3 linked regions of the Struthio camelus genome follow. Each later gene encodes a partner of the first gene's protein in a complex. Links are inferred from orthologs where the notes say so. Each region holds a gene or a part of one and is shown on either strand. Other genes may lie near its edges.

Region 1 (7,341 bases):
GTTCTAAGGATTAGCAGAAATTGAGCTAAAAACTTTCTAACCTATGAATAAAGAGGTATTGCGATGATATGCTGATCAGCTCATTATAACATTAATAGGATATGAGTTACTAGTAAGATGCTTACCCTGTTAACAATTCATTAAATCTGGTTAACCGTTATCTTGATAATACACAAATAAAAGAATCACAATTACTGCTTCAGAATAGGGCTGATAATGCAGATCTAACCGGAAAACGTAATTTTTATGTTTTATTAGCAACTACCTTTGTGCCCCTATTTATATTTGTTATTGGGAACCACCTTTGTGCCCAGGGTAAGTGTCTTACTGACAGCTTTTATCCTATTCATTTTATAATGAGCTGGTCAGCGTATCATCATGACACCTCTTTATTCATAGGTTAGAAAATTTAGATCATTCTCTTGTTTGGGGAAGGCAGAAGGATACAACAAGATCTTACCTTAGCTTACCATAGCTATAAAAAATGTCTATCCCTTTTTCTAGTGACATGAGACTTTAAGTCAGTGCAAAGAGAAAAAGGAATAAGCAGCTATTCAGCAAGGCAGCAATTTTTAAGAGAGAAAAGATCTTATGTATATTTTTATAAAGGCTTTCCCTTGGCGTTTCTCAAAGAAAAATTGTAATAGCTATTCCTCAAAATGTCAGGTAGGCTCTTTTGTCATCATTGATGTCCTCATGCTGCTCCTCTGCCGCTGCAGAACGTGGGGTCGGTCTGTTTTGGAGCGCACAAGGAGAGCAGCTGGGACACATGGCTGGAGGGACGCGCTTGCCTGTCTTTGGAGGAAGGGATCACGGAACGCTGTCAAAGGATGCTTCACGTTGATCCCTGCCTCAGAGCTTAGGCTAACCACACTGCCCCATGTGCCAGTTTGTCCAAAAGTGCCTGTTTATGGCTATGAATATGACAGTAAGATGCAATTTGGAAAGGCAGCCATGACTCCACCTCTCGTTTCAGGATGATCATCCTGAACTTTGAAAGAAAGTGTAACAGCTCTGTCATGCTGATGGCCTAAGTTTTTCTATGTCATGCAAAAGGGAAAACTAGTCAATTGTGGCTCCTTCCGGTTGCCCTAACAATGGGACTCGAAACGCTGAGCAGCTACACAGGCAGCACTGGGTATCACCAAACAGCACTGATGCGTGACCTACAGCTACTGGAGCGTCTGGTTTCTAGCTTGGTTCCCCTAAGCGAGAGAGGCAGGAAAACACGGGCAGCACCACGCTTGCTTCCCGGACGCAGGGAGACAACGTGGCCTGGTTAGCACACGGCCTGTCCGAGATGGCCTTTGCTCGTTCTGATACTAGCAAAGGTAGTGCAGCCACTGTGATGTAGCTTGAATTCCTGAAGAATTCAAGAAGTCGTAAAGAAGCTGTAGAAGTTGTAAAGCCATTTTACCTGTGATGTGAAGTACGGTGACATTTCTAGCAACAGGCCGACACAACCAACAGTTTTTGTGAGTCACCCAGACAGATACAGGAAAAGTCCCAGGAAATTCACCAGTCACATTAATCAGGGAGTGAAACCGCTGCTCTGATTTCTCAATGAGAATCAGAGGAGCATAAATCCAGTTAAAATGATAAAAGTGTGAGGCCATTCTGTCATTCTTCATACTTAGACTGGCACGAACAGTAGCTTGAGCTCCTGTTGTGATGGGACCGTTGTTGGTTATTTCCAGATCATACTCCTCTGCAAAAATCAGAAGAAAAATCTCTTTGTTTTGCAATTTTTATTTCTTCACATTCTCACTGGTCAGCTGTAGTTACGTGATTCACGATGATACTAATGCCAGCTAAGACTTTGCCACCTTTTTTACCATGTAAAAGGCTAGAACTGAAACTGTTACGCACATATATATTTGAATTCAAACAGGTAGCATTAAAGAACATCTAGGAATTGGTCCTAGAAATGTTAATAGTAAGGGGTAGCCTAAACAAAAAATGTTAATTTGAACATCCAAAAAACTTTGAGGAGGCTTTATAGCTAGAGCTGGGCTATAATCTAACATTATGTTCATTAGCAATCTAACACCATACTCACTAAACTTCCATCCACTTGAAAAGCTTCAGGTTCAAATCTAATCCGTGTTGTTTCAATTCTCACTCAAAACAGAATGGAAAAGTCACGTGCTGAAAAGGATTTGTATGGCAGAGGAAGATCCTTTGCAAAGGAAAAGGCAGGCCAGGCCAACCTTGCTGAAATAGGCTAACTTTCAGTGTGCAGGCATCTGCAGATGTAGGTGCATGCTCACTAGAGTTTTCAAAAATATTTCGGCGCCTTATACCTGTTTCTACTGTTTGGCATTAAGCGTCCATTCTGAAAATTGCATTAAACATGAAAATAACTTAAACACAACAAAATAAAAGCAGTTGGTGCACTTCCACTTTTTTTTTTTCTTTTTAAGACCAGGGCTGTAGTGAGGAAGTCAAAGGTGAGGACACTGCAAAATTCTCTGCAGTTACAGAAAGGACAAATTACCAACTTGCTTAAAGAAATCTCTCACTGGGCAAAGCCTTGGACTAAAAATGAACTTTCAGGCCCAAGCAGGATTTCATGCAGTAGTTTCCTTTATCAGCTCTGCTGACACACAGGTACCCTGGTACCCTCCACCTTCTGCCCAAGTATGGAAACTCAGTACCAGCTACTTATCTATGGTCTACTGTTAACGTCCCTTTCTAGGAAAGGGCCAAAGATTTCAGTATAAATGAAACTTGTGCATTTGAAGCTGTAGCTGCTACCAACATCCTAGTGTTTGATCAGTTCAGCCCTCAAGGGCAAAAAAAAAAGGGTTCTTACTTCATGGCTTTCACAACTGGAACAGCGAGGTGCAAGGGGGTGCCAAACTCGTGACCTTGAAAAACAGCCCTGCTGCTCTGCCTTGCTCCCCCTTCTCTTCCCTGCTGCATTTACACAAGCTACTTACTTACGCTCTTACAACTACTACATCGGGCAGAGCTGGGCAAGGTTTGGTTTTACGGAAAGGATACTAAATTCAGTTTTAACCGGGGGTTACATCCCCAGGTTTCAGTGCTGGGAAAGCACTGCTGCACTTATTTTGTGGGTTAAGAAATGGCAGTGCGACATTAAATGACTTGCACATGTTGGAACAACAAAACCAAATGCAACAACCATGGAGGGCTGGGAACTGGGAGAGCTGGGAACAGACTGTTTTTTGCCTCCCCCGCGGCGTACCCATCCTCCTCCCAGCAGTGTCTGGCTAGTTATCACCTCGCAGGAGCCCAACAAAGCAACGCTGAGCAGAGCGCTGCACTGCTGGGGCTCATCACGCCGGGGACTCGGCAGAACCTCTGAACTGCAGAAGTTGCACTTCTCGCCCACCTGGGGCCTCTAATGCAGCGCTCGGGCCGGAGGGAGCGCTGGGGTCAGCTAGCCCCTGCATGCCTTTCGCGTCCCCCTCCGAGCCGGGGTGGTAAGAAAAGAGACCTCAAACATCTCATTAGGCCCCTAATTTCACTCCACAGATCCCAGGTGCTAAGCAACATTGGATGCAAAAGGATGGAGGAAAAATAACCGCAGCATTGCTTTCTGAGTGAGAACTTCACCGTTCCCACTTCGTAACATGAGAAAGGCCCCGGGTTCACAAATTTTGAGCCAACAGAGAAGCGCGGGTGATTGAATGAAGTCTGACACAGGGAGCTTTCAGGTCTCCAGAAGACTCAGGCTACCCTCCGCTTTGTTTGAACAAAGCTCGGACAAACGGCCAGCGGCCTTGGGCTAACCCAGCAGCTTCTCCCCAGAGGCGGTCAAGGCACTCCAGGCCAGCCGGGGCCAGGCTGGAGCCCCGCGGCTGCCGCGGCTGGACAGCAGGCAGCTAACGCAAGGTCGGGCCGTGAGTCAGCGAGGGCTCGTCCAGCCCTCGGCGGTCCTGCGGCTCCCCAGCCCCTTGCCGCAGCACAGCCGGGGGCTGCGCGGGCAGCAGGAGCCTTTTGGAGGGGGCCGGGAGGCGCAGGAGGCAGGCGCGGCACCGGGCACCTGCCGCCGCCGCCGCCGGGGGGGGTGGGGGGTCCGCCCGCTCCGCCTTACCTGCGGCCGAGCCGGGGCGGCGGAGCAGCAGGGCCAGGCAGCTCAGCCGCAGGATGCCGGCGGCGGCCATGGGCAGGCACCGCCGCCGCTGCGCCACCTCCGTCCGCGCCGCCGGCCGCTTCCAGCCTGCGGCGCCCGGCCCGGCCCTGGCGGGGACAGCCCCCATCCCCGCCCCGAGGCCCGCCGCCAACGTGACGGGCTCCGCGCAAGCCGCCAAGGCTTTTTTTTTTTTTTTTTTTTTTTCCCCCCTCAAAAACACCTCAAACCAGCCCAAACCCTGCCCCGCGGCGAGGGGGCAGTCCCGCTCCCGGCCGACAAGGCGGCGGGTTTCCGCGGCGCAGCTGAGGTACCGCCCGCGGCTGCGGGGCTCCGCCGCTGCCCTCCGCGGCTCCCCGCGCCGCCCCGGTGACCCCTCGCCCGCCGGAGGGAGGGAGGGAGGGAGGGCGGCGGCGGGGCCGGTGCCGGGCGAAGCCGCCCGCGCGGGGCCGGGGGAGGCGCGGGGACCGCGGCCCCGCCCCGGGCCGGGGGGCGGTGGCGGCGGCGGTGGCGGCGGCCGGAACTGGGCTCGGGCGCTTCCGTTGCGCCCATGCGCCTCCGCCGGCCTCCGCGCCGGGAGCAACAAAGGAGGGGGCCCGGGGCCGGGGCCGGGGCCGGCCGGGCGCGGGGTGAGGAGCGGCGGCGGCGGTGGCGGCGCCTCGGCGCGGCCTAGGCCCGGGCCGGCGCTGAGGTGAGGTGAGGCCCGGCCTGGTCCGCGGGCGGAACCGGCGCGCCGCGGGCAGCGGCGGCAGCAGGAGGAGGAGGAGGAGGAGGAAGGAGGGGGCCGGCGGCGGCGTTAAGGCCGTTCTGGGGCGGGCGCGATGGCGGCGGCAGGTGCGGGCCGCGCCGGGGGTCCGCTGGGGCCTGGGGCGCCTTTCCGCCGCCCCGAGCGCCAGCCCTTACGGATCAGCCAAACTAAGCGTGACAGCTGCCATGTCGGAGGAGATGCGTCCCCGTCTAACAAACCCGAGCCGCGGCTGCGGGGGCAGCGCGTCAGCTGCTGTTTGCCGGTCGCATGAACTTGAAGAGGTGTTTTGTGTTTCTTGCAGGTGTGCTGGTGTCGGCTGTGAGCGCTGAAAGCAGCCGGCCCCGCCGCCCCCGGCATGGCGTTCGTCACCGCGCAAGGGCCCACCGTGGTGGACCAAACCACTCTGATGAAAAAATACCTGCAGTTCGTGGCCGCTCTCACAGATGTCAACACACGTAAGATGCGCTTTTTTCCCTCTTTTCTTTTTTTTTCCTTTTGTGCTGCGGGTTGCCGTGTTTCCGTCGTTTGCTTCACAGACAGGGGCGGCGTTGGCTAGACTAGCGGGGATAAAGGCGTGCTGGATTCGCTTTGGATTTGGTTTGAGTTTTGATTTTTGAAGAAGCAAAGTGATGAGTAATATTTGCATGAGCCGAAGCGAGAGAGCTGTGTGCGTGTGCCGTTGTATGACAGAGGGATGTTTGTGAGAATCGTGTGCCTTCTACCTGGGCGGTGATAGCTGGACTGATAAGATCTGATTGCTTCTTTGATCGGTGGAGCTGGTGTCCCTTCTACGATGTAGTTTTACATTTAATTTCTTTTGCTTCAATTTCCGTTTTCAGCCGATGAAACCAAATTGAAAATGATGCAAGAAGTCAGTGAGAATTTTGAGGTAAACTTAAAAAAAAAATTGCTTCCTGAACGATAGTCCTTCTTTTGCCTAATGTATGTCAGCTTGATTTCTGATGTTATGTGTAAAGCTTAATATTGTGTCTTATGATTTATCTTGTAAGTCACCAATGTTAGGATTATATTTATGTATGGAAATCTTCATTTTTTATTATGTTTCTGTCTTGTTTGGAATTAGCAAGATTATTGAAGAATTATGACTTCTGGGCTTGGAGATCTCTAATCTTTTCTCGATAAATGTTTAAATAAAGGTGATGTGATAGATTTTTTTTTTCTTCCATTTTGGCTAACTATCTGAAACCTATGTATTTGGAACTTTCTTTTATTTAATTCAAATATATATTTGGTCCTCATGAAGTAGAAGACTAGATAGGCCTTCGCAGATTTTTCTGCATAGTTTCATAGCACAGAAGTGAGGGGGCAGTTGTCCAATGTGGAATCTGACATTAGAAGTGAAGACAGTTCCAGTGACCTCTTTTGCATCGTAATAGACCATCAAGTTTAGATCAGCAGCAATGAAGTTAAACTAACTATGTGTTCATGGGAATTGTACTTTTATTGAGTACTGAGTTACTATGTGTCTATTTTGAAATTACAGAGAACTTGTTATTTTGTAATGTAAGTTTAAGGTCTCTGAATCACTGTAATTCTCTGTATCTAGTTTCTTAGTTATACTGCTTTGAAAATGTGCTTGTGAGAACAATGCCCTGCTGTAACACACTCTGTTTTATAAACTTCATTTGAAGTGATCTCTGTTAGTCTGAGATGCTGACACAAAAATACCCATTCCAGTGCTGTTTAATGTCTTCAAATATTTTTCTGTCAGCTTTGCGCAAAGTTACGTCCAACAGGTTGCTGCATTCCAGTGCTGTTTGTGCAAGGTTGTACCAATTTCAGTTGTTCCTGTGCTATTAATGGAATTTCCTGTCCAGTGAATTGTTTGATTTAGTTCAGGTTAACACAGAGGAATGCAATTTGAGCTAGTGTAACTGTATGATAAAGAGAATTAAAAGGCGAAATTCTTGTTTAGCTTGTGTGAGCAAATAAGTAGACATCTGTGATCTGCGTCCATATGTCAGGGTGGGCAGAGCTTAAGTGACTGTCTAAAATGTCCTTTTGGAGTTTCAGTATATGTTTGCTTCAAAGATGGCACGCCAGCCTAATTTGATATCTGACTAAAAGAGTAGCTATAATGGCTTTATCTAGTGATCTCGCTGAAATCTGAAAGCTGAGCTGGTTCTCTTTGCCCTTGCCATCAGTAGGGAAGAACTTGTTCAGTATTTCTTTTGATAATGTTCAAGATAGAGTATTTTTCTTCTCTTGGAACTTGCTTGGTTCTGTAACGTGACCCTACGTATAAAGAGGATGAATTGACTTATGCTTAAGCACAGTTTCGTTTGTATGGAACTACGAGGGAGCAAGAGGAATGGCTAATATAGTGGTGGTGGTTTTTTTATTTTTGATTTTTTTGGAAGAGTGCAGAAGTTACTGTTGCCGATCATTCTGCTAGCTCTTAGATGGACTCCTTTCATCTTGTGTTTCCATAGTGTCCATTTTAACTTTTCTCTGTCACCTACTTCCATTTCCA
Region 2 (7,711 bases), on another chromosome or scaffold:
TCCAATTATCAGTCACTGGGTAAGGAACAGAAAAAGGGGCAGGGAAGGACAACAGTACCAGTCTTTCCATTCATTTATTGATGGGACTTTAGTATTATCACTGGTCAGCTAAGTCTCACAAAAGTTGTGTGTACAGACAACCAAAAATGACTACCCTTCTCCTCCTGAACCATTTATGAGCTGTAGGTTTCTCTGCTGTGTCCCTTATCATCATCATCCATACTGCTGTCTCCTCTGGGTGATGTTCTTGTAATGAGTTCTAGGCTAACAACAGTTTTTAGAAAAACAGAAAGAGAATTGCATTAATACTTGTGTCTTGAGACACCGTCTCCATGCCATAATCTATATAGTCTACCTATAAAGGGAAAAAAAAGAATGAATTAAGTATTTAAATACTAAAATGCTGAAAAGAACAGGTTAAGGGAACAGAGAGTCCTCCATTTTTCTGTATAGCTCCTACTTGCCTCTATGCTTTAGGGACACTAGAGAGCATTTGGCTATAACATTCAAGATCTTTTGATGCAATCCTTGATGGGTGAAATATACAGCATTTACTGGAGGTTGAGTCTGCCTTTCTCTACACCAACACCTATAATTACCAGTAACCCATTTACTAGGATTCTTATGTTAGCTGCTCTTTTATAGCATTTAAAACAGAAATAGGCGTGCTGTAGAATACAGAGGACATGCTGGGTAGATGAGGGGAGAGCAGTGGATGTTGTCTCCCTGGACTTCAGCAAGGCTTTTGACACTGTCTCCCATCACATCCTCCTAGGTAAGCTCAGGAAGTGTGGGCTAGATGAGTGCATAGTGAGGTGGACTGAGAACTAGCTGAATGGCAGAGCTCAGAGGGTTGTGGTGAATGGCACAGTCTAGTTGGAGGCCTGTAGCTAGCTGTGTCCCCCAGGGGTCAGTCCTGGGCCCGGTCTTGTTCAACTTATTCATCAATGACCTGGAGGAAGGGACAGAGTGCACCCTCAGCTAGTTTGCTGATGATACTAAACCGGGGGGAGTGGCTGACACAGCAGAAGGCTGTGCTGCCATTCAGAGGGACCCGGACAGGCTGGAGAGCTGGGCGGAGAGGAACCTCATGAAGTTCAACATAGGCAAGTGCAGGGTCCTGCACCTAGGCAGGAATAATCCCATGCACCAGTACAGGCTGGGGGTTGACCTGCTGGAAAGCAGCTCTGCTGAGAAGGACCTGGGAGTCCTGGTGGGCAACAAGTTAACCGTGAGGCAGCAATGTGCCCTTGTGGCCAAGAAGGCCAATGGTCTCCTGGGGTGCCTTAGGCAGAGTGTTGCCAGCAGGCCGAGGGAGGTGATCCTGCCCCTCTCCTCAGCCCTGGTGAGGCCTCACCTGGAGCACTGTGTCCAATTCTGGACTCCCCGGTACAAGACACACATGGCACTACTGGAGAGAGTCCAGCGAAGGGCTACCAGGATGATGAGGGGACTGGAGCATCTCTCCTGTGAAGAAAGGCTGCGAGAGCTGGGCCTGTTCAGCCTGGAGAAGAGAAGACAGAGGTGACCTGATCAATGTGTACAAGGATCTGAAGGGGGGGGTTGTCGAGAGGATGAGGCCAGTCTCTTCTCCATGGTGCCAAGTGACAGGGCAAGAGGCAACAGGCACAAACTGCAACACAGGAAGTTCCATCTGGACCTGAGGAAAAACTTTTTTCCTGTGAGGGTGACAGAGCACTGGAGCAGGTTGCCCAGAGAGGTGGTGGAGTCTCCTTCGCTGGAGATATTCAAAACCCACCTGGACGCGATCCTGGGAAATATGTTCTAGAGGACCCTGCTCGAGCAGGGGGGTTGGACTAGATGATTTCCAGAGGTCCCTTCCAACCTCGGCCATTCTGTGAGAAAGAATCCCAACCCTGAGGAATCACATATAGAAAATTACTTCCAATGGTAAACAAGAGACAGATAAGTGTGAAAAGATAAAGTATTTAGTAATGTATCCTGCACACTTACAATGTGCAAGTGGTAATGCATCTCGGTTGTTCTTGTAATTTTGTAAGGTTGCTTACCTGATGTGGTAGATATTGCCATATGGTATACTAGAGAGAGTGTCAGAACAAGGACATAAAGATTTCTAGACTTTTTTTTCTACTTTGGTATGCAACTGTAAACTACATTCCAGTTGTCCTAGAAAACTAGCAGGAGAAGAATATAGCCTGCTCTGATCCTTTATGTTAGCTGCTACTGCCCTTTGATAATTTAATCCATCTCTGATGTCACCATCTCTCTTTTTTCATCACTTTTCCTGGCACTGCAGCCCAACTTTGCACTATACTCCTGTTGAGATGCTGTGAAAGAAAGACTTGCAGTGACTCTGTCACCCTTGGGCTGTTTCCGCTGAATTCTAGCTGTTTACCTCAATAACCGATTTGAGCAGCTGTAGACTAACTCTCTGTTTTGGGGATCTGAACAGACTTCTATTCTAGATAGCTCTTTGGTATGTAGCTTATAGAATTTAATCGTGGCCAAAAACTAGCAATGTGCTTGACTGTAGCAGCGACAAATTCACAGGCACCACTGTGCTTGACAAAGCATTCTTGCATTGTAAGAAATGGGCCACACGACCTACAACATCAGTAAAATTGCAGCTACTTTAAGCATTATAATTTGGTCAGAATGGATGAAGTGGAAGTTAAAAGTTATAGAGAGGAAAAGGGCATTTTCTTTGCTTCTCTCCCTTGAATTTTGAGCGATGACCGAGAAAAGCTTTGAGAAGTATAGAAGGCTTGAGAACAAGAATAATTTAACAAAGATTAATTTTATAACTTCTCAGAGGAGCTAGGCCGTCCCTCCTAGCGATGTGTCCTTTTGAAGCGATTAGAGCCTCAGGAAGGGCTAGCTGTTGTAATTCCAACTCACCCTGCAGAAGGCTACTGCAGGTGAGAAGAGGACACAAGTAACTAGAACTGCAAATCCCTCAGTATAAGCAGTTTTCTAAAACTTTCAAGTTATTACACTACTATTTGAGGCCCATACATTAAGAACAAAATACCTATCTGATTTTGTTTTTTCTTTGAGCTTTTTGCAAAGAGTTTCTCTCATGTGGGAACATTCACAGATTTGGGGGCAGGGTAAGATATGGGACAGCATTTCAGTATTTTTCCCCATCATTTAGGACAGCTAGTGGACATGATTTACAGCTAATAACATGATTTACTTCACGTTACAGCAGTGCAAGTGATCACCACAAATCTGTAAATATAAGAAGCACTGACGCCCAACTTTAGGCAAACCTAAGTAAAGAATACTTTGTCTCTGACCTATTTCAAGCAATCCAGTCTCACAGAAAACTTGCAGCTCTTATTCTTACCAGTCTCCATCTTTGCAGTCTTAAGTCAGCTATCAGGACAGTAAATTCTAGACATTATTAAGGAACGCATTAGCAGGTGCCGAGTCTGATCCCACTGCAACACAACTCCAGTCTTTAATTGCACCCATTCCCAGTACATCAGAGCAAAACTCATCATACTGCAATAAGAAGCGTTATCATGCTAAACCTGATTCCTCTTTAAAAACGACCTGCCACGATTTGTCCGTCAGTATTGTTCCAGCCGTTCGGTAGCCTTGAGAAACAGCGCCTAGCAAAAGAAAATATTAAAAGGCGGGTTGCATTTTTACTTCAAGTGTATTTACTTCCTTTAGGATGGTTGCACAACGAGGTCAAAGTGCAGTTTCCTACTGTAAGAGCGGCGCTCACGAAGTCCCGCGTACCTGCAGCCCGCGCCCAGCGCGCCCCGCCGCCGCGGTTCCCCTTCAGCTGCTCTTGGCTCTTGCGCAGCTGTAACGCCTCGGCTTTCCCCGAAGGGTTAAGCGGCAGCGGGGGCGTTAACGCGCGCGGGCGCGCCGGGATGGCCCCAGCGCAGCAGCCCCCCGCCTGACGCTGTCGGGCTCCGAGCGGGGAGTGGACTATTTAAAATAGTAACCTCCCTCTTTCATTTTTTGTTTGTCCCCGGCGCCGAAAGCCGAGCTCCCCTCCCGGGCTTGCGCTCCGTCGGGGCTGGCCGCCAACCCCTCCGCGGCCCGGCCCGGCCCGCCGTGCTGAGTCAGGCTGCTCGGGCCGGGGGGGCGGGGAGGGGCGCCGGGCCCCCGCTGCGAGCCGCGGCTCCCGCCCCGCGCCCCGGCTACCTGCCGCCGGCACCCGGCGGCGGCGGGGGCGGCCCGGGCCGGCAGCGCTGCGGCTCCGCCTGCGGCGCAGCGAGGCGCGGGGGCCGCCGCCGCCGCCCCCCCTCCCCTCCCCTCCCGCCCGCCCGGCGGATCAGTTACACGCAGCTGGCACAGGTGTGCGGCGCCGGCGAGGGAGACCCGGGCGCAGGGAGCAGCGGGCAGACATGCAGCCATTTTGGGCCGAGGCAGACAAAGAGGCGCGGCCGCCGCCCCCCTCCTTCCCGCCTCTCCTCCCCCCGCCCCCCTCCGCGTCGCGCCTCGCCCCGTCGCGCCTCGGCCGGCCGGCCGCACCGCCCGCCCCCGCCCGCCACAGCCGCCGCGCCCCGCCACCGCGTCGCGGCCGGGCCGCTGCCGCCCGACTCCCAACTAAGAGCTCGCAGCCATTTGCCCTGCCTTTTATACCCGGCCGGCGGCCAATCAGCGGCGAGCGGAATCCCTCTCCGGCCGGTGATGTGAGGCGAGGCGGCTGCGCCTGCGCAGTAAGGGGGGCCGAGTGTGTGGGGGGGGGTGGGGGGAGGGAGGGAGGAGTGAAAGGGGAGGGGGGGGAGGAGGGAGCAGCTCACAGGAACCCTCCAAAAAAAAGATGGCGGCGGGCTCGGATCTGCTGGATGAGGTTTTCCTGAACACGGAGGTGGATGAGAAGGTGGTGAGCGACCTGGTGGGCTCCCTGGAGTCCCAGCTGGCGGCCTCCGGCCACCACCACCAGCACCACAAGGCGCAGGAGCCCCTGAGGGCCGCTGGGGGGCTGCTGGGGAACCATGTTGTGAGCAGCAGCAGTAGCAGCAGCAGCCCTAGCCCTAGCCCTGGAGGAGTAGTAGTAGGAGGCAATGCTAATGTCCAAACAGAGAGCAGCAGCAGCAGCAAGATGGGACTCAGTGCCCCAGAGATCACAAAAGCAGGTAACATGGGCAGGGGTGGGGGGCTCGGAGGGGAGAGGGGGCCTCCCCTCCCCCCACTGCCCGGCTCCGGCTGCCTCCTTCCCTCACTGCTTTTTTTCCCCCCCTTTTTCCCCTCTCTCCTCCGTCTTGTTGTGGCAGGAGCCGGAGTGCAAAGGGTGGTATCGATCATACGGGGGAGAGCCTCCCCTCATCATGCCCCCTCGGTGTGTATCCGTGCCTGTGCTCCCTCCCCTTTATTTTCCCTCCTCGCTCCTGCTTACTAGAGGATGTTTTATCATGTGTGGGGGCAGTATCCCTACATCATAACCCGTCAGTGCCTGCCTGTGACTCTGTCGGTCCCCCTCTTCTTTTTCTGCCCTTGTTGCTGGAGTGTAAAAGGCTCTATTAATCTTGGGGTTGAGGGAGGCAGAGCCCACCCCCTCGGTGCTGCCTGTCCCTCACATGCCATCTGTGACTGATCCCCTTCCTTTTCCAGGGGTGGAGGTTATGGGGGGGGATTCCCTCTTAATAACGCCTGCTTAGCTGTCTGTGTAAATGCTCCTTCCCCTCCCCCTTCGCTGTTGCTGAAGTGCAAGGGGGTGTTATTAATCATGACACCTATTTCCTGTATAGGAGGAAGCGAGGGGGGATTTCAAGGGGAGGAAGTCCCTCAAAATGCTTCCCCCCCCCATATCTGTCTGCCTGGATATGCCTCCCCCACCCCCTCCCTTGTTCCTGGGGCTTGGAGGGGGCATTCAACACCTCTCATTCCCCCTCTGCCCTCAAGGGGGTGTTGTCACAACATTAGGTCCCAGGAAGGGGGGGGAATTCAGGCCATAACACCCCACCTTGTACAATGTCTTCCCCCACCCCCCCGCCCCCCAGCATCTACCTGTGACTGTTCCCTCCCTTCATGTTGTGAAGGCTGTAGGGGGATGGTATTAATCACAGCCTTAAGGGTTCCCTCCATGAGAATGGAGGGAAGCTTTTTTTCAGGGGAATAAAAAAAAAAAATGTCTCCCCAGAATCTCTCTGCAATTCCTCCCCTCCCCCCCTTTTTGCTTTCTTTCTTTCTTCTTGCTGAAGTGTAAGAAGATATTACAGACCTTCTGTCATGATTAATGAAGCTCTTCTAGGAGGATCTCCTTAACCCTTATGAGATGCATCTCAGTATCTGTCTGTCACTATTCTTTCCCCATTTCTGTCTCCTTAGGGCCAGGACCCAGGCTGTCTGTGATTGTACTAGTGATAACACCAGGCCTCATCAAGGGGCGTGAGGATTATTCAGGACAAGAAGCTACATCACCTTATCCTTTCTCAAAATCAGCCTTGCTTTTTATTTATTTATTTTTAACCATCTCTGGCTGTGGGAACTTCAGAGCCAGAAGAATAAATTTTGTAATAAGGTGGAGAGGTCTTCTTATAACCTGCTCCAGACCTTATACTACTCCTTATCTTGGCCGGCTGGTGTTTTTCTTTTCCTTCACTTTTTTTGCATCTTGCTGTTGTTGAGCTTCCTGCTCTAACTGACTTAACGTTGTAGCAGATGAGAGGATTAGGGCGTAACTTGCTGGGCATAGGGAATGTGCCTTATTAATGTGTCTTCCAATGCTATTTTTTTTCCTCTTGTTGGTGCAGGCATGCTGCTAAACATAATATCAGGCTCTAGAATGGGGAAGAGGTCTAAAGAGAAGATCTCCTTCCTCCTTCCTTCCTTCACTTCATAGCAAATCTGTTTTCCCTGTTTTATCTTACTGTGGTGATGAAGGTGGGAGTGTTGCAATTAATATTGAATCCACCAGTCTCTAGTGGGAAACTGGAGGCTTCAAGATAACGTCTTTAAATCCTTCTTCAGTTTATACTCTGTTCCATTTTCTTGGCAGGCAGTTTGGGAGATGAAGAAGACTTGGTGGTGAGGGAGAACATTCTGTCTTCGTTGGATTTCTCCTGCTCGTTCTGTCTTTTTAACCTTGTTGTTGTTGTTGCAGGAGCAGGAGGAGTGCAAGGAGGCGTTATTAATCATAACACCAGGTCCCAGAGCTCAACTCTGGATGGAGGCACCACAACGAGCACCAGCACCACCACTGCAGCAGCAGGAGGATCTGAAGTTACTGCTGCTCCAGGGACCCTCAGTCAGGGCAAATCGGTGGTTATCAGCACGATGGCAACTGCCTTGTCCACCAGGAATGGCAAGATTGGGACCACAACAGTGCAAACTTTGAATGGGAGTAATGTGGTGATGAACTCTCACCACACAGGAAGTGCTGCTTTCTCCGGGACTCCTGTGACTGCTAACCCTGCTTCTGCACCTGCTGTTGCCCCTCTAGTTAACAATGGACCTGGATCTGTCGGAAAAGGAAATACTGTTAATGCTGTTTTGCCATCAGCTTCCAACACTGTCATCCAGACTTCTTTCCTTAATACTGCTGTGTCGTCTGCATCTTCTTCCTCACCCACAGTTATTTCCTCGCAGCCACCACCGAGCATTGGAAGTGGGGGGCCTACGGTAACGCTTGTGAGGCCACCAATTCACACAGCAGGACCCACAGTAGCTGCAGCTGGTGCAGCCACTCAAAATGGGAGCAATACTGTGATCAATTCAACCATCAGTGTGGGGAGTTTTCCTGCTGTTGCTACAGCCACTGTGG
Region 3 (7,321 bases), on another chromosome or scaffold:
CCCAAAGGGCCCAGGCGTCCGGGCTACCCAAGAAGGGGCCCAGGCGTCCGGTCCCTGACTTAACGTGCGCCCCAGTCCCAAAGGGCCCAGGCGTCCGGGCTACCCGAGAAGGGGCCCAGGCATCCAGGCTACCCGAGAAGGGGCCCAGGCGTCCAGGCTACCCGAGAAGGGGCCCAGGCGTCCAGGCTACCCGAGAAGGGCCCAGGCATCCGGTCCCTAACTTAACACGCGCCCCAAACCCTGAAGGGCCCAGGTGTCCGGGCTACCTGAGAAGGGGCCCAGGCGTCCGGTCCCTGACTTAACATGCGCCCCAGTCCCAAAGGGCCCAGGTGTCCGGGCTACCCGAGAAGGGCCCAGGTATCCGGTCCCCGACTTAACATGTGCCCCAACCCTGAAGGGCCCAGGCGTCCGGGCTGCCCAAGAAAGGGCCCAGGCATCCGGGCTACCCGAGAAGGGGCCCAGGCATCCAGGCTACCCAAGAGAGGCCCAGGCGTCCGGTCCCTAACTTAACGCGCGCCCCAAACCCTGAAGGGCCCAGGCATCCGGGTTACCCGAGAAGGGACCCAGGCGCCCGGGCTACCCGAGAAGGGGCCCAGGCGTCCGGGCAACCCGCGCGACGTCACTCTCGAGCACCAACTCGGCCTCGGAGCGGCCGCCGCGTCCCGTTCTCCGTCCCTCTCCCCCGAAGGGCCCAGGCATCCGAGCTCGCAAAGGGGCCCAGGCGTCCGGCTCGCAAAGGGGCCCAGGCGTCCGGCTCACCTGTGCACGTTGCGCTCGGGCGCCAGCTCGGCCTCGTAGTAGCCGTCGCGGCAGTCCTTGCCCACCAGCTCGTGGGGGTGCGGCCGGTGCGGCGCCTCCTTCGTCACCAGCGACACCCGCACTCGCCCCGGGCCCCGGTAGTTGTTGATCTGCGCCAAGGGCCCAGGCGTCCGGGGAGGGGCCCAGGCGTCCGGGAACCCCCCTCTGCCCCCGTGTTCCCAACCCGGGCGTTAGAACCGCTAAGAGGGACCCAGGCGTCCGGGCAGAGCCCAACCTCCGCGCTCAGCTACGGTGGGTGGGAAGGGGGGCCCAGGAGTCCGGGGAGGGGCCCAGGTGTCCGGAAAGGGGCCCAGGCGTCCGGGTGGCACTCAGGTGTACAGGGGGGCTCAGCTGTCCGGCGGGGCCCAGGTGTCCGGGGAGGGACCCAAGTGTCCAGGGGAGTCTAAGCCCCCAGCCCCAACCGCTGGGGGGCTACTGGGAGACCCTGGAGGAGCTACTGGGAGCATACTGGTGCGCACTGGTCTGTACTGGGGGCTCACCCGGATGGTGGGGTGGGTCTTGGTGGTGTCGCTGCTGTGCTCGCCGGGGCTGGGGGCCCAGGGGGGGCGCGGGGAGGGCGCTGGAGGGTTACTGGTGCGCACTGGTCTATACTGGTGCGCACTGGTCTATACTGGGGGCTCACCCGGATGGTGGGGTGGGTCTTGGTGGTGTCGCTGCTGTGCTCGCCGGGGATGCTGCCGGCCGAGCGGCCCTCGCACTTGTAGCGGAAGCGCATCCCCCGCTGCTTGGGCTGCTCGATGATCTCCACGAAGGGGGCGCCCCCCCCCGGCTCTGCAACGGGGCCCAGGCGTCCGGGAGAGCCCCCCCCCCCGCCCCCCCGGCTCTGCAACGGGGCCCAGGCGTCCGGGAGAGCCCCCCCACCCCCACCCCCCCCGCCCCCCCCCGGCTCTGCAACGGGGCCCAGGCGTCCGGGAGAGCCCCCCCCACCCCCACCCCCCCCGCCCCCCCGGCTCTGCAACGGGGCCCAGGCGTCCGGGAGAGCCCCCCCACCCCCACCCCCCCCGCCCCCCCCCGGCTCTGCAACGGGGCCCAGGCGTCCGGGAGAGCCCCCCCACCCCCACCCCCCCCGCCCCCCCCCGGCTCTGCAACGGGGCCCAGGCGTCCGGGAGAGCCCCCCCCACCCCCACCCCCCCGGCTCTGCAACGGGGCCCAGGCGTCCGGGAGAGCCCCCCCGCCCCCACCCCCCCCGGCTCTGCAACGGGGCCCAGGCGTCCGGGAGAGCCCCCCCCCACCCCCCCCGGCTCTGCAACGGGGCCCAGGCGTCCGGGAGAGCCCCCCCCCCACCAAGCGATCCAGGTGGCCGTGTGACCCCCCCCCCAAAAAAAGGGACCCAGGTGTTTGAGTGACCCCCCCCAAAGGGGCCCAGGCGCCCGGGTGACCCCCCCCCAAAAGGGGCCCCGGTGTCCAGGTGACCCCCCCCCAAAAGGGGCCCAGGCGTGCAGATGACCCCCCCCCAAAAGGGGCCCAGGCATCCGGGTGACCCCTCCCCCAAAGGGGCCCAGGTGTCCGAGTGACCCCAACACCCCCCCCAAAAGGGGCACCGGTGTCCAGGTGACCCCCCCAAAGGGGCCCAGGCGTCCGGGTGACCCCCCCCCCCAAAAGGGGCCCAGGTGTCCGGGTGACCCTCCCCAAAAGGGGCCCAGGTGTCCGGGTGACCCCCCCCCCCAAAGGGGCCCAGGCGTCCGGGTGACCCCCCCCCAAGGGGGCCCAGGCATCCGGGTAACCCCCCCCCAAAAGGGGCCCAGGTGTCCGAGTGACCCCCCCCCCCGACCCCGGACGCCTGGGCCCCCACTCACCCTGCAGGCCCCAGTCCTGCTGCAGGAGGAAGGGCAGCAGATCGGCTGCGGGGGGGAGGGGGGGGAGGGAGAGACGAGCGGGGGTGTCAGCGGGGGAGGGGAGCCCGGCCCGGACGCCGGGGCCCCCTCCCGCCCCCCCCCCAACCAGCTGCCGCGCCATGGGGGGGAAGGGAGGGAAGGAAAGCGGAGACGAAACCGGCTGCGCCTCTCTTCGAGGCTCTACGGCCGCGCCGCGCCGCTATTAGGCGCAGTGCGGGAAGGCCGCCGCCGCCGCCGCTACCGTAACGCACCGAAGGGGCGCGCACGCCGCGGCGTCACGTGACGGGGGGACCCCCCCCCCACCCCCACCGCGCGCGTTAACCCTGAAACCTACTGACGCCGCCGCCAGCGGGGGGAGAGTAGGGGGGATCCCCTGACGTCACCGCGGCTTGACGTCACCGGCGAGGCGGGGGGGGGGAACCACCGATTTCGGGGAGCCTCGACCCGCCCCCCCCCCCCCGGCGGAAGGGGGTGGGGGAGGGGCACTCACCGTTCTCCATCTTGGCCGGGCGGAGGGGTGGGGGGAGGGGTAGGGGGGTGGGGGGGGTCCCCGGTGCCGGTGGGGGCGGGGCGAGAGGGGGGTGGGCGGGGCCGCCGCGCCCGGGCGCGACCGTCCGGTCCCGCCGCCGCCGCCGCCGCCGCTTCGGGCCCCGCCGCTACCGCGTCGCCATTCGCGGAAGTGGCCCCGCCGCCCCACGTGACCCCCCGCTGCCGGGAAGGCCCCGCCCCCGGCCCCGCCCCCGGCCCGCTCCGCGTTCTGGCCCCGCCCCGTCCGGCCCCGCCCCTTCCGCCCCCTCCGCGCTCCGGCCCCGCCCCCATGCAAATGAGGGGGCGGGGCCGAGCGGCAGGGGCCGGCGGGCAGTTGCGGCCGGCGGAGGGAGGCGAAAAGAGGCGCAAAACCAGGCGGGGGGGGGGAACCCATAATGGGGGGGGGGGAACCCAAAAGGAGGGGGAACGGATGTGGGGGAACCGAAAACGGGGGGACCTATGGGGGGGACCCATAACGGGGGGGGGGACCCATAACGGGGGGGGACACATAACGGGGGACACATAACGGGGGGACCCATAACGGGGGGACCCATAACGGGGGGGGACCCATAACGGGGGGACCCATAATGGGGGGACACATAACGGGGGGACACATAACGGGGGGACACATAACGGGGGGGACCCATAACGGGGGGACCCATAATGGGGGGACCCATAACGGGGGGACACATAATGGGGGGGGACCCATAACGGGGGGACCCATAACGGCGTGGGACACATAACGGGGGGGGACCCATAACGGGGGGACCCATAATGGGGGGACCCATAACGGGGGGGGACCCATAACGGGGGGACCCATAACGGGGGGACACATAACGGGGGGACCCATAACGGGGGGACCCACAACGGGGGGGGACCCATAACGGGGGGACCCATAACGGCGTGGGACACATAACGGGGGGGACTCATAATGGGGGGGCCCATAACGGGGGGGACCCATTACGGGGGGACACATAACGGGGGGACCCATAATGGGGGGACACATAATGGGGGGACACATAATGGGGGGACCCATAACGGGGGGGGACCCATAGTGCGACCATAGAGTCTAGCGGGAGGACCGCGGGAAGGAGCGCCCGGCGAGCGAGCCCCACCCCCGGTCTCCCGCCGCGCGCATGCGCAGGCGCGGGGCGGGCGGCGAGCAAGCCGGAAGTGACGTCGGGGCGGGCAAGCGAGCGGAAGGCGGAAGCGCTGGGGCGGCGACCCGGAAGCGGTGCGCGGCGGGCCCCGGTTTGCGGCCGAGGATGGCGGAGGTGGTGAGCGGCGGCGGCGCGGGGCGGGGCGGGGCGGGGGCGGCGGAGGGGGGGGCGGCGGGACCCCGGGACCCCCCCGCCGTGACGCCGCGCCGCCCGCAGGGGGAGGTGTCCGAGGGCTGCCGCCTGCCCGTGCTGCGCCGCAACCAGGACAACGAGGATGAGTGGCGTGAGCGGGGGCGGGGCCGCCGCGCGAGGGGGCGGGGCCGCCGCGGGAGCGGGGCGCGGAAGGGCGGGGCCGGGCCGGGAGGGGAGTGGGCGGGGCCAGGCGGGGCACTGACGGGGCCGGGAGTGGGCGGGGCCGGGAGGGGAGTGGGCGGGGCCAGGCGGGGCAATCGCGGGGGCGTGGCCAGGAGGAAGGGTGGGAGGGGCCACCGCGCGGGGCGGGGGGACGACACGGAGGCCCAGCGGGGCGGAGGGGGCGTGGCCAGGAGGAGGAGTGGGCGGGGCTGCTGCGGGGCGGGGTGGGGCCAGGAGGAGGGGGCGGGGCCGGGCGGGGGAGCTGTCCCCCCTCCCCCGGGGTTCCCTATTTGGGGGGGGCAAGGGGATTTGGGGGGGGGCTCAGGGGGATTGGAGGGTCCCTGGGGGGGTTTTGGGGGCGTTTGGGGGATTTTGGGGACAGCGGGGGGGGGGACTTGAGACTGGGAGATATTTGGGGTCCCCCAGGGACGTTTTGGGGGGGGGGAAGGGAAATTTGGGAGAGGGGGTCTTGTGGGGGGGGTAATTGGGTAGGGGGGTGGCAATATCGGGGCGGGGGGAGCAACCTGCGTTGGCCTGAAGCGCTATTTCGGAGGGGGGAAAGGCAACCTTTGGGGTGGGGGGATTCGAGGGTGCCCCAATGAGGGGGTCACGGCCCGGGGGGCCCGGGGGAGGTGGGGGGGGGGAGGCGACCCCCTCTCCCCCCCTGCCGCCCCCTCCCCGCCGCCCCCCCCAGCGCTGGCCGAGATCCTGAGCGTGAAGGACATCAGCGGGCGCAAGCTCTTCTACGTCCACTACATCGACTGTGAGTTTTGGGGTGGGGGGGTGAACGCGGTGACACTGGGGGGGGACGGGGCCACCGAGGAGGGGACGGGGCCACCGCGGCGGGGACGGGGCCACCGAGGAGGGGACGGGGCCACCAAGAGGCCACGGGGCCCCCGAGAGCCTCGGGGCGAGAGCCGGGGCGACCGCAAGCCGGGCGGGCGGGCGTCCCGCCGCCGCGTCACCGCGTCCCCTCCCGCCGTCCCCAGTCAACAAGCGCCTGGACGAATGGGTCACCCACGACCGCCTGGACCTCAAGAAGATCCAGTTCCCCAAGAAGGAAGCCAAGACGCCCACCAAGAACGGCCTGCCCGGTTCCCGGCCCGGCTCGCCGGAGCGCGACGTGGTGAGGGGACGGGCGCCGCCGCTGGGGACGGCCCCGCCGCCGCTGGGGGTGGGGGGGGGACGCCCCCAGGTTGGGGGGGGTGGGCGGGTTCACTAGAGCTGTCGGGGACGTCCGACGGAGCCGGGAGAAGACACCTCGAGCCCCGGGGACGTTCTCGAAGTTGACTCGGGGACGAGTTCAGGGGCGCGTTTGGGGTCGGGGGACAGCGAGGACGTTCAGGGCACGTTCGGGGGACAGGAAGGCCACCTTGAGTGTCGGAAACGTCTGCGGGTCTAGAGAGGCCACGTAGATGAGTTGGGGACATCTAGAAGCTTTGGGGACACCTGCAGTCAGGGCCGTTTGTGGTCCTAGCGGGGACGCAGAGAGTTTAGGGACGCACGGAGCCCCGGGGACGTTTTTGCACCCGACGGTGACACCAGGAACCGTTGGGGACGCTTGGAGCTCCGCGGACGTCCCTTGCTCCTCGGTTGGGGGGACACCTAAAGCTGTTGGAGCTACTGGGAGCCGTTGGGGACGCTGGGAAGCGTAGGGGACGCAGGGCAGTCGCTGAGGACGGGGGAGCCAACAGGGACGTTGGGAGCCGCTGGGGACGTTGGGAGCCACTGGGGATGTTGGGAGTTGCTGGGGACGTTGGGAGTCGCTGGGGACGTTGGGAGCCACTGGGGACGTTGGGGGCCACTGGGGATGTTGGGAGCCAGTGGGGTCATTGGGAGCCACTGGGGACGTTAGGGGCCACTGGGGATGTTGGGAGCCAGTGGGGTCATTGGGAGCCACTGGGGACACCAGAGCTGTTGGGGACGCGGGAGCTGCTGCTTCCGGGGGAGCTACTGGGGACACTGGGAGCTGGTGGGAACACGGGAGCCAGTGGGCCTAGGCGAAGCGTTGGGGCCACCGGGAGCCATCGGGGGCCACCAGGAACCATCGGGGGCCACCGGGAGCCATCGGGGGCCACCAGGAACCATCGGGGGCCACTGGGAGCCATCAGGGGCCACCGGGAGCTGCTGGGGGCCACCAGGAACCATCGGGGCCATTGGAGGCACCGGGAAGCGTCGGGAACGCGGGAGCTCTCGGGGGACCGGGGAACCGCTGGGGCCACCGGGAGCCGCTGGGAGCCACCGGGAGCCGTGGGGGGACGCGGGGAGCATCGGGGACGAGGGACCGCCGGGGAGCCGGGACGCTTCGCTTTGCCGCGCCGGGAGGGCGGGAGGGGAAGCGGGTGGGAGGCTGCCGGCCGGCCCCGTTCCCCCGTCCCCCGCCCCCCGACCCCACGGCCCGGGCGGGTGCCAGCACCCACAGGGAGGGTGGAGGGTCCCTCACCGCCCCCCTTTCTGCTCCTCTTCCTCGCGCCGGCGCAGAGGAAGAGCCTGGACGCGGCGGCGCCGGCGGCTCCGGCCAGCGGCAAGAGCCTCCCGGTGCCGGTGCAGATCACGCTGCGCTTTAACCTGCCCAAGGAGAGGGAGCCCGGCCCCGGCCCCGGCGAGGCCGAACCGCCCCCGGCC

What was found. Proteins that work in one complex are often made in the same cells at the same time.
Region 2: TRRAP (region 1) and TAF4 share a complex: the UniProt entries of both Homo sapiens proteins name them as parts of the TFTC-HAT complex. The link is inferred for Struthio camelus from reciprocal best matches to the Homo sapiens genes TRRAP and TAF4.
Region 3: TRRAP (region 1) and KAT5 share a complex: the UniProt entries of both Homo sapiens proteins name them as parts of the SWR1-like complex. The link is inferred for Struthio camelus from reciprocal best matches to the Homo sapiens genes TRRAP and KAT5.

The regions. Positions count from the first base shown.
Region 1 is NC_090956.1:8,614,600-8,621,940, reverse strand, and holds the start of TRRAP (transformation/transcription domain-associated protein), read left to right. Parts: upstream 1-4,340; 5' UTR 4,341-4,409; intron 4,410-4,599; exon of another isoform or gene 4,600-4,795; intron 4,796-5,148; 5' UTR 5,149-5,202; coding exon 5,203-5,302; intron 5,303-5,686; coding exon 5,687-5,736; intron 5,737-7,341. Other genes in the region: TMEM130 (transmembrane protein 130), read right to left, coding at 1,418-1,708, 4,064-4,229. UniProt on the Homo sapiens protein: Adapter protein, which is found in various multiprotein chromatin complexes with histone acetyltransferase activity (HAT), which gives a specific tag for epigenetic transcription activation.
Region 2 is NC_090959.1:15,331,243-15,338,953, reverse strand, and holds the start of TAF4 (transcription initiation factor TFIID subunit 4), read left to right. Parts: upstream 1-4,700; 5' UTR 4,701-4,768; coding exon 4,769-5,084; intron 5,085-7,051; coding exon 7,052-7,711. UniProt on the Homo sapiens protein: The TFIID basal transcription factor complex plays a major role in the initiation of RNA polymerase II (Pol II)-dependent transcription.
Region 3 is NC_090976.1:906,684-914,004, forward strand, and holds the start of KAT5 (histone acetyltransferase KAT5), read left to right. Parts: upstream 1-4,310; 5' UTR 4,311-4,318; coding exon 4,319-4,459; intron 4,460-4,558; coding exon 4,559-4,625; intron 4,626-5,390; coding exon 5,391-5,459; intron 5,460-5,685; coding exon 5,686-5,822; intron 5,823-7,177; coding exon 7,178-7,321. Other genes in the region: RELA (transcription factor p65), read right to left, coding at 760-908, 1,442-1,590, 2,616-2,660, 3,145-3,154. UniProt on the Homo sapiens protein: Catalytic subunit of the NuA4 histone acetyltransferase complex, a multiprotein complex involved in transcriptional activation of select genes principally by acetylation of nucleosomal histones H2A and H4.